Linked DNA regions of Daphnia pulex. The main gene of each other region encodes a partner of the protein of the gene in region 2 in a complex. Links are inferred from orthologs where the notes say so. Each region holds a gene or a part of one and is shown on either strand. Other genes may lie near its edges.

Region 1 (3,809 bases), on a different chromosome or scaffold from region 2:
TTTTCTTTAGTGATAAGAAGACTTTGGGGGATCTGGACTAGCAGATGGTTAGGAGCTATGTTAGACATAGCCATGAGACCTCGTCCAGTGCTATTAAACAGAGCTGGCTTTGTAACTAAACAATTTTTTGACACAGCATTCCAACCATTCGCACTCATCCATTTACAAAGTTCAACGAATTCTGAATGTGAATCAATCCGAAGTGGGCGAGAATGCACAATTCGAACCAACCTGTTTCGGATTCTAGATGTTCGTCCCATGTTTTTTTATAATGGAAATATATTTAATTTAACACCACAACTTTATACCACATTCATATTCTCACAGTTTTTCAATAAACTCACGGCGGTTTTCTTTTCGAATAGAGATGAAACAATTGGTTAAAATGAAATTTACGGCTGCTTACACTTGACTTCAAATCTTACTGAGTTTACACTTTACACATTTTGTTTACATCAGAGTGATCAGACGACTATGAGTTGACAGTGACAGGAATAGGGACGGGTGGGTTGAATCCGAAGTGGCTAGTCCGCTTTCATATGTATGGTTTGAGATGTAGCCCTTTACGCACCAGGAAGTGCTTGATTTCTAGTACATCTTTTGGATCCTAGGGCAAAATGCACGCCACTAGAGGCGCTATGCCCACGAAGTGAACGAACTAATGCTTGTCGCTTGACAGCTCTTTTTATACTAAATGCTATCCAGCACTCCCTAATGCATTAAAAAGGACGTTGCCTTCCCCCAAGCCTAGAGAGTAGAGACGTAGCAGTAGATACGTCTAAATAATTTTTTTACTTGACATAAATCATTTTCTATGATAGCCTAGCCTTAAGCCCTTAACTTTCCAAATTAATTAAAAAGAAAACCGTTATTCGTACGCAGGTACACTATCCCTTAACGGAAGTGTGAAAAAACAGGTTCGGTTTTAATTGAATAACTGAAACGCTATTCATCACAAAGAGAAAGATTTGAAAATAAATGCGGAACTTGCATTTGAGACAACCAGACGTCAACGAAAAAGAAGTGCGCGTTATTAAGATCTACCTCTAAAATTTATGCGATCTCTTTTGTCGTTAAAGAAAATCGGCCCAAATATTATATATTTTGAGATAAAATCCGCGGGTTAATGTCAATGGATTTATTAGATCCAATTCCTTGTTGTAGTTATTATATACCAGAGAGATGTATATTTTTCCTATATCACTGGCAAAACCAACAGTCAGATTCACGTCGATGTCCGTTAAATTTTTCTTAAATTTTTGGTTTAGTGCTTTAGTCTCAATTTTAAAAAAATTCCGCGATCCTCCCATCAGATACCTTAAAGTAGCAGCGAAGAAGCAACAAGTTTACTAGTTTTGGAGTAGCCTTTTTATTTTGCGTTTATTTGAATTTATTTTGATTCAAATAAAATAATCTGATGGGCTATTTGAATTTGGAAAAATCTCCAAAAAGTCGCTAAAAAGCGGAACAGCCACTTTGGTTCTAGCTCTACTGATCGTATAACGAAGCGAAACATGCTGTCTGCAGTCTCTGCACTCTGACGAACGTGTTTGACTGTTTGCCCACGCCAGTTTTCAGTTTGATTAGTCTGCAACCTGTGAATCGGTATTTTATTATTGTCCTCACTGTGCATAATAATAAGGAAGGTTTAGACAGTGATATTTATATATTACTCATTAGCTTATGGGGATGCTTTGAACATTGAGAATTTCAATACTTTACGTAAAGTTTTTGAACACGTAACCTCGATTCTTGATAATCTTTCTTGTGGTGCATTCAAATTTGTGCCGCAACATGTCATCTAACAATGCCAAGCGAAACATCTATGTCGGTAAGATCAAATAACATATTTCAGTCTTACGAAATGTAATGCTTACTGTGATTCATTTTAACAGGTGGCCTTCCTGATGAGGCAGATGAATCAGTAGTGCGTGCAGCCTTTATTCCTTTCGGAGAAATTGTTAATATAGAAATACCTCCAGATTATGAAAATCATGAAAAACATAGAGGTTTCTCTTTTATTGAGTATGAACTAGCTGAAGATGCTGCTGCCGCAATTGATAACATGGTATTCTCACAATTTCTTACAGTTTATCTAGTAAACAAATATTTAATTACTTGCCATCATGGATGCCTTTCTTTCAGAATGATTCTGAGTTGTTTGGCAAAACAATTACTGTAAACATTGCAAGACCTCGGAAAATTAAGGAAGGATATTCTAGACCAGTTTGGTCAGAGGATTCTTGGTTGCAAAAATATGCTGGAAAGACAGAAGAAAATAAAAATCCAGTGGAGGAAAACAATAAGGAATCAACTGAAGGGAAAGACAATGTTTCTGAATCTGAAACTAAGTCAGCAGTTTCTAAAAAGCCTCGCGGCAACCCTCAAGTGTACATGGATCTTAAAGCTGGAAAAATCAATTTGGGCAGAATAATTATTTTATTGAGAGCTGATGTCGCCCCTAAAACATCTGAAAATTTTCTTGCTCTCTGCACTCATGAAAAAGGTTATGGATTCATGAATTCCAGTTTTCATCGTATTATTCCAGGATTTGTAAGCGGAAAGCTCAGTTTTAATCAATATTTATTTTTATTAACGTTCTTTTGCAAAAGATGTGTCAAGGTGGTGATTTTACTAACGGTGATGGAACCGGTGGTCGATCAATTTTCGGTGGAAACGGGAAATTCGAAGACGAAAATTTTACGTTGAAGCACAACGGTCCTGGTATTCTGTCTATGGCGAATTCAGGCCCAAATTCAAATGGATCCCAATTTTTTCTAACCCTTGACAAAGCAGAATGGTAGGTTTTTTCCCTGTTAAAATATCATAGTTATAATGCTAATAGCACCTTTATGTTTTCAAAGGTTGGATAACAAGCACGTCGTATTTGGTCAACTTCTTGCCGGCCTAGATGTTTTACGTAAAGTGGAGAAGTACGGAACAAAGTCTGGTAAACCGACTGACAAAGTCATTATGTCCGCCTGTGGAGAACTATTGTAACACATGAATAAAAGAAGCTTTTTTTTAACTACATTGTTTAATGACCAATGTCTTGTGCTCATGAAAAATATAAACAAACAAATTGATTGGACTACAGTATATTCCAACCCTCTTCCCTCCCGGAAAAAAACAAAAAAACAAAAGAAAAACATTAACGTCATGGGTCCTTTAATTTTCGTTGAGATTTTCATATTGATTGATCCAGCTATGAATCAAATCTTGGATGTAATTGTCTTGCAGGTCTTTGGGTATCCGCGGTCCCGGATAATTCAATTCTTTATTTAATGCGCCTGTTAGTTCATCTAAACAAGTAAAATAATTGGTATGTTTACAGGAAATTCCCAAGTTTGACATTTTTTAGACACTGTAAGGTATTTGAATGAAAAAAGATATTTACTAATATTCATATTAGGCCACAAATCTTGCTTCTGATTCATAATGGGAATTTCATTGGATATACGGCCAAAAGGTTCCTCCCCAACCATTGCCGCCCGACCAGACTTCGAAAGATATATATATTTTTTTTTAAGTTTAGAAATAATTATCTGATTTTTTACGTCTACTGTGGACTACACACCTCCGTGGAAATATCCTTGCGCCTACCCAAACGAGGAACCGCCTTTGATGCCTTCAGAAAAAAATTAGAGAGACTTCCTTCGTGAGGAAAAGATTCTGAATTCATGTATTCAGCGATGATTCCTTCACCTCGTCGGCCGATTCGAGGAATCTTTTGTCGAAACCTATTATAATTCGGATTAAACGGTTCCGGGCTGGGATCTGATAAGGCAGACGCCAGCAGTAGCCACGTT
Region 2 (4,540 bases):
TTTTGATGATAGAATACCTGCTTTCCATTGATTGAAACATAGTGTTCACCAGTGCAGCGATCCACCGACTCCTCCGATTCAAAGGTCAAAAAGCCAAAGCCTGTCCCAAGGTTTTCCAAATTGCTTATTACACTTTTTTTATACCACTTTTCTTTACATCTTTCTTTGATCTCATTAATAATCATTAGAAGAAATCTTGGGACAGGCCTGACTAAATTATTTTTCAACCATAACTTTTGACTGTAGATCTGATGAGATTGATACCGGATTCTAATACTTGAAGAGAAATAAATCTAATACATCGTTAAAAACTAGAGTTGTGATTATGAAAGAAATATTGACTCAACCCAATGGGTATGCCAATATTTAGTCAGATGTAAAACTTGTAAATCCACCCTCCCAAGTTCCTTAATGGCATATTATCTACTGTAATTCGCGGAAACTCTTTCACATGAGCAGTAGAAGTAAACGTGGATAGGAACTTAGCCATTTGCTTACCTATAGGAATAAAATAACCACACTATTAAAGTTAGCAAAGTTATCAAAAAAGGAATCCATCGAATCTTCGGAATATAACCACTTACACTTGCGTCATACGTTATGTAAGGACGTTCATAGTTTATTTACGCTGTTTTAATTAACTTTAATACCCACTAATTGAGGAAAGTGACTCACCTCGAGATTTTTTCTTTTCTTGGTCGTACATGATAACGACTTCAGAGACCTTTCCGTACTGCGAGAAGAAGTTACGAAGATCTGTTTCTGTCAAGTTTGATGGAAGCCCACCTAAAAATACTTTGTAACCATTTCCTGTACCCATACTCCGGCGAGGAGCGCGTACCATTTCGGCACGTGGATTACAAGGTTTGGGGTCAATCTGCATAAACATAAAAATATGAGATCATAAAAAACAACCAAAAATGTAGAAAGAAATCAAATATATATCTCAAGTTGAGATATAAACTTCAATTCCTTCCACTTCTATGTAGCAATACCGCGAAAGGAGATAAAATTATGTTAAACATTCTATCACCGCTCAGGTAGTGCAAATAAGAGTATGAAGAAAATATAAAAACTTACTGTGCGATTATCGAGTATATGGGGTGTGTTTTGTAGTACTAAACCAACATTGTTAGGATCAGCAAATGTAATGAACCCAAACCCTCTCGATCTACCAGTTTCTGGGTTCTTCATTACCACACAGTCAACAACTTCACCATACTGACTGAAATATCGAAGCAAATTATCGCGCGTCGTTTCCCAGCTTAAACCTCCGATGAACATTTTACTAAAAAAACAAGATTCGTACCAAAAAATAGTAAATGGACGCAAATCATGAAAAGCTTAGTGTACGGCGTCATGGATTTACATTCTCCCATGAACTTCACATGTCATATTATAAATGGAAAAAATTTCTTACCCTTGTTCATTCGAATTATCACCACCTTCTTTTCCAGGGAATTTTTGTTGAGAGGCCATTGTTCAGTTTAAATTGAATATAACAGTAAACGAATCTTTCAAATTTTCGAGGAGTGTTCGCACTGCGCTTGGGTTGGCTTCTTCAGTTGAGAAATGGGGGAAATGGCTGGCCCGGCATTTCAGTCAGTTTGCACCGTTGCCTGGACACTTTTTCTAGTTGAAAACTTGAAACTTAAATTATGAAATTATTACTTATAAAAAACTATGCTGTTTCTTTTACACATTCCAATAAAAAAATTTCTGAGTCTTAAAAAAATGATTGGATTTTGAAAAGAAAAGAAAACTCGCACTGAGGAATGAAGCGCTTTATTGAATAGTGTAGTCTAGCAACTGTTTAGCCCTAAGCGAAGCGAACATATGCATCTTGGCTTGTCGCACATTTTTGTGAAAAGTATATAAAAAAAGGTTACACGCTTCATCATGGCCCTCTGTTGTTCTCGTAATATTACATTTTCATTATAAATATCAATTTAAAACCAATCCATTCTTCTGAGAAATTTGATATTTAATGTCTTATATCTCTTGCTTATATAGTGTCGAACGAAGTTCCCGAACATCCTGTGGTCTCACCGGTGTCAGGATCTGTGTTTGAACGTCGGCTGATTGAAAAGTACATTGCTGATAACGGGGTAGATCCCATCAATGGGAAAGAAATAACTGTAGATCAACTTATTGAAATCAAAAGTAAGAAATTTTTTATCAAAGTTCCACAATGAATTTACATGTAATTGAAATTTTGTTTCTAGCCCCCCCAATTGTTAAGCCTAAAGTGCCATCTGCAACAAGCATTCCCGCCGTGCTTAAGTCTTTACAAGATGAATGGGATGCTGTCATGTTAAATTCCTTTACTTTGAGGCAACAATTACAAACTGCTCGACAAGAATTGAGGTATTGACCAACTTAATTACACATGGAATTATTGTGCAAACATTCTCTTTCTATTTGTAGTCATGCTCTCTACCAACATGATGCTGCTTGTCGTGTTATTGCACGCCTCCACAAGGAAGTGTCTACAGCACGGGAAGCACTTGCAACTCTTAAGCCCCAGACTGGCTATGCTGCTGTATCTACACCATCTGTTGCTGCCTCAGTAAGAAAGCATTATGATATTTATTTGTATGTTATTTATGATAAATTTACTGATTTGATGTAAGGCTGAAGCGGGTGGTGTGGCAGCACAACCGATCGAGGCAGCTGGATTAACTCCGGAAATCATATCACAATTACAAGATAAAGCCACTGTTCTTACTCAAGAACGAAAACGTAGAGGCAAAACCATGCCCGAAGGCTTAGCTACAGCAGAAGCTTTGAAGGGATATAAAACTTTGGCATCTCATCCGGTAATGACATATAATTTTGAAATGTTATCCCATCTTCATGGATTGATTACATATAGGCTTTGCACAGTGCAAGTATGCCCGGAATTTTGACCATGGACGTTCACGCCGCCGATACTTCTCATATTTTGACTGGAGGTAACGATCGATGCGCTACAGTTTTTAACAAGGACACTGAGCAGGTTGTTGCTGTTCTCAAGGGACATACAAAAAAAGTTACCAAGGTGCTTTATCATCCAGAAGAGGTAATTTCATGTTTTCTTTTAATTTTCTCTTGATTTACTTTGTTATATGATACTAATATACCCCTTGAATCTGTTATAGGAAGTCGCGATAACAGCATCTCCTGATGCGACGATTCGTGTTTGGAATATAACCGGCTCCTCACAATCTGCCATCATCCGTGCTCATGATGGCCCTGTCACAGGCTTGTCGCTCCACGCAACCGGAGAATATGTTTTGTCGACGTCACTGGATCAACACTGGGCATTTTCAGACATTCGCGTTGGGCGGTTGTTGACAAAGGTTGCCGACACAGACGGAAATCCGCTTACGACAGCCCAGTTCCATCCAGATGGTCTCATTTTCGGCACTGGAACACAAGATTCACAGATCAAAATTTGGGATTTAAAAGAACAATCTAACGTGGCCAACTTTCCAGGTTTGGCTCTTTTAAAATAATCTTGTGATAAACATTAGCTTTACTATTACCATTTTTACAATTACAGGTCATTCCGGTCCTATTGCGGCTTTGTCATTTTCAGAAAATGGTTACTATTTGGCTACAGCGGCAGAAGACTCTTGCGTCAAATTGTGGGATTTACGGAAATTGAAGAATTTTAAAACAATTCAGCTCGACGAAGGATACGAAGTTAAGGACTTGTGCTTCGATCAAAGCGGCACCTACCTTGCTGTGGCTGGTACCGACGTGCGTGTTTATCTCTGCAAGCAATGGGAAACTCTTAAGACTTTTAACGACCATACAGCATTGGCTATGGGAGTCCGTTTCGGCAACCATGCGCAGTCGATAGCGTCTGTGAGTATGGATCGTACGCTGAAAATTTATGGCATCGAGTGATTCACTGTATTCAATGTTGAGAGGGGATTTTTAAATGAACATTTTTCGTCTTATCCTTTTTTTTGCTGTAAGGTGTGCAAACCGCATCGAACTCTCGCCCTCACAAAAATACACGCGTTTCATTTTTCCCATCAAAAACAATTCTACGAGTGTATATCGATAGTTAAGTTTCCCGCGTTACTATCGATACATTAAATAAAACAAAAAGCTTCGAAATTTTGTCACTAGTGGCGTGGCAGTTCGCTTGGCATTTTCGCTTTCTTGAAGCATATCCCAATGGCGGCTTAGGCAATCGATGCATCGGCCGCTCCTTCGTACAGGGGTTTATGTATTTGGCCTAAAATGCCGGTCGACTCTTGTAAACAAGGAATAGTGAGATCATACTACGTTAATTTCAAATTTCATAGTTCAAATTCTTCATATTGGATTGCTATCCTGAATCAAGATTTTTCCAGATAAAGTACGAGGTAAGTCGCCCAAAAACAGTTCCTTCAACCGTCGCTTCTATCAAGTTGCATTGTTGCATCTTTTGTAATTGGAAGCGTGGTTTTGTTGAATGAATAAAATTTTCTGCCCTTCAAAAAATTTGTCTTCTTTAATTTGACGCATTTTTTTTTCTCCCTAAAGAGTTGACACAACTACTTTA

What was found.
Region 1: pre-mRNA-processing factor 19-like (region 2) and peptidyl-prolyl cis-trans isomerase E-like share a complex: the UniProt entries of both Homo sapiens proteins name them as parts of the XAB2 complex. The link is inferred for Daphnia pulex from reciprocal best matches to the Homo sapiens genes PRPF19 and PPIE.

What each region holds. Positions count from the first base shown.
Region 1 is NC_060020.1:8,629,444-8,633,252, forward strand, and holds peptidyl-prolyl cis-trans isomerase E-like, read left to right. Parts: upstream 1-1,495; 5' UTR 1,496-1,794; coding exon 1,795-1,831; intron 1,832-1,895; coding exon 1,896-2,068; intron 2,069-2,145; coding exon 2,146-2,553; intron 2,554-2,612; coding exon 2,613-2,800; intron 2,801-2,864; coding exon 2,865-3,000; 3' UTR 3,001-3,086; downstream 3,087-3,809. Other genes in the region: uncharacterized protein LOC124191929, read right to left, coding at 3,169-3,302, 3,398-3,500, 3,578-3,809. UniProt on the Homo sapiens protein: Involved in pre-mRNA splicing as component of the spliceosome. Combines RNA-binding and PPIase activities.
Region 2 is NC_060022.1:3,393,664-3,398,203, forward strand, and holds pre-mRNA-processing factor 19-like, read left to right. Parts: upstream 1-1,786; 5' UTR 1,787-1,899; coding exon 1,900-1,918; intron 1,919-2,013; coding exon 2,014-2,163; intron 2,164-2,225; coding exon 2,226-2,367; intron 2,368-2,427; coding exon 2,428-2,569; intron 2,570-2,633; coding exon 2,634-2,819; intron 2,820-2,875; coding exon 2,876-3,061; intron 3,062-3,140; coding exon 3,141-3,477; intron 3,478-3,544; coding exon 3,545-3,894; 3' UTR 3,895-4,032; downstream 4,033-4,540. Other genes in the region: heterogeneous nuclear ribonucleoprotein 27C-like, read right to left, coding at 18-100, 676-877, 1,081-1,288, 1,421-1,479. UniProt on the Homo sapiens protein: Ubiquitin-protein ligase which is a core component of several complexes mainly involved pre-mRNA splicing and DNA repair. Required for pre-mRNA splicing as component of the spliceosome.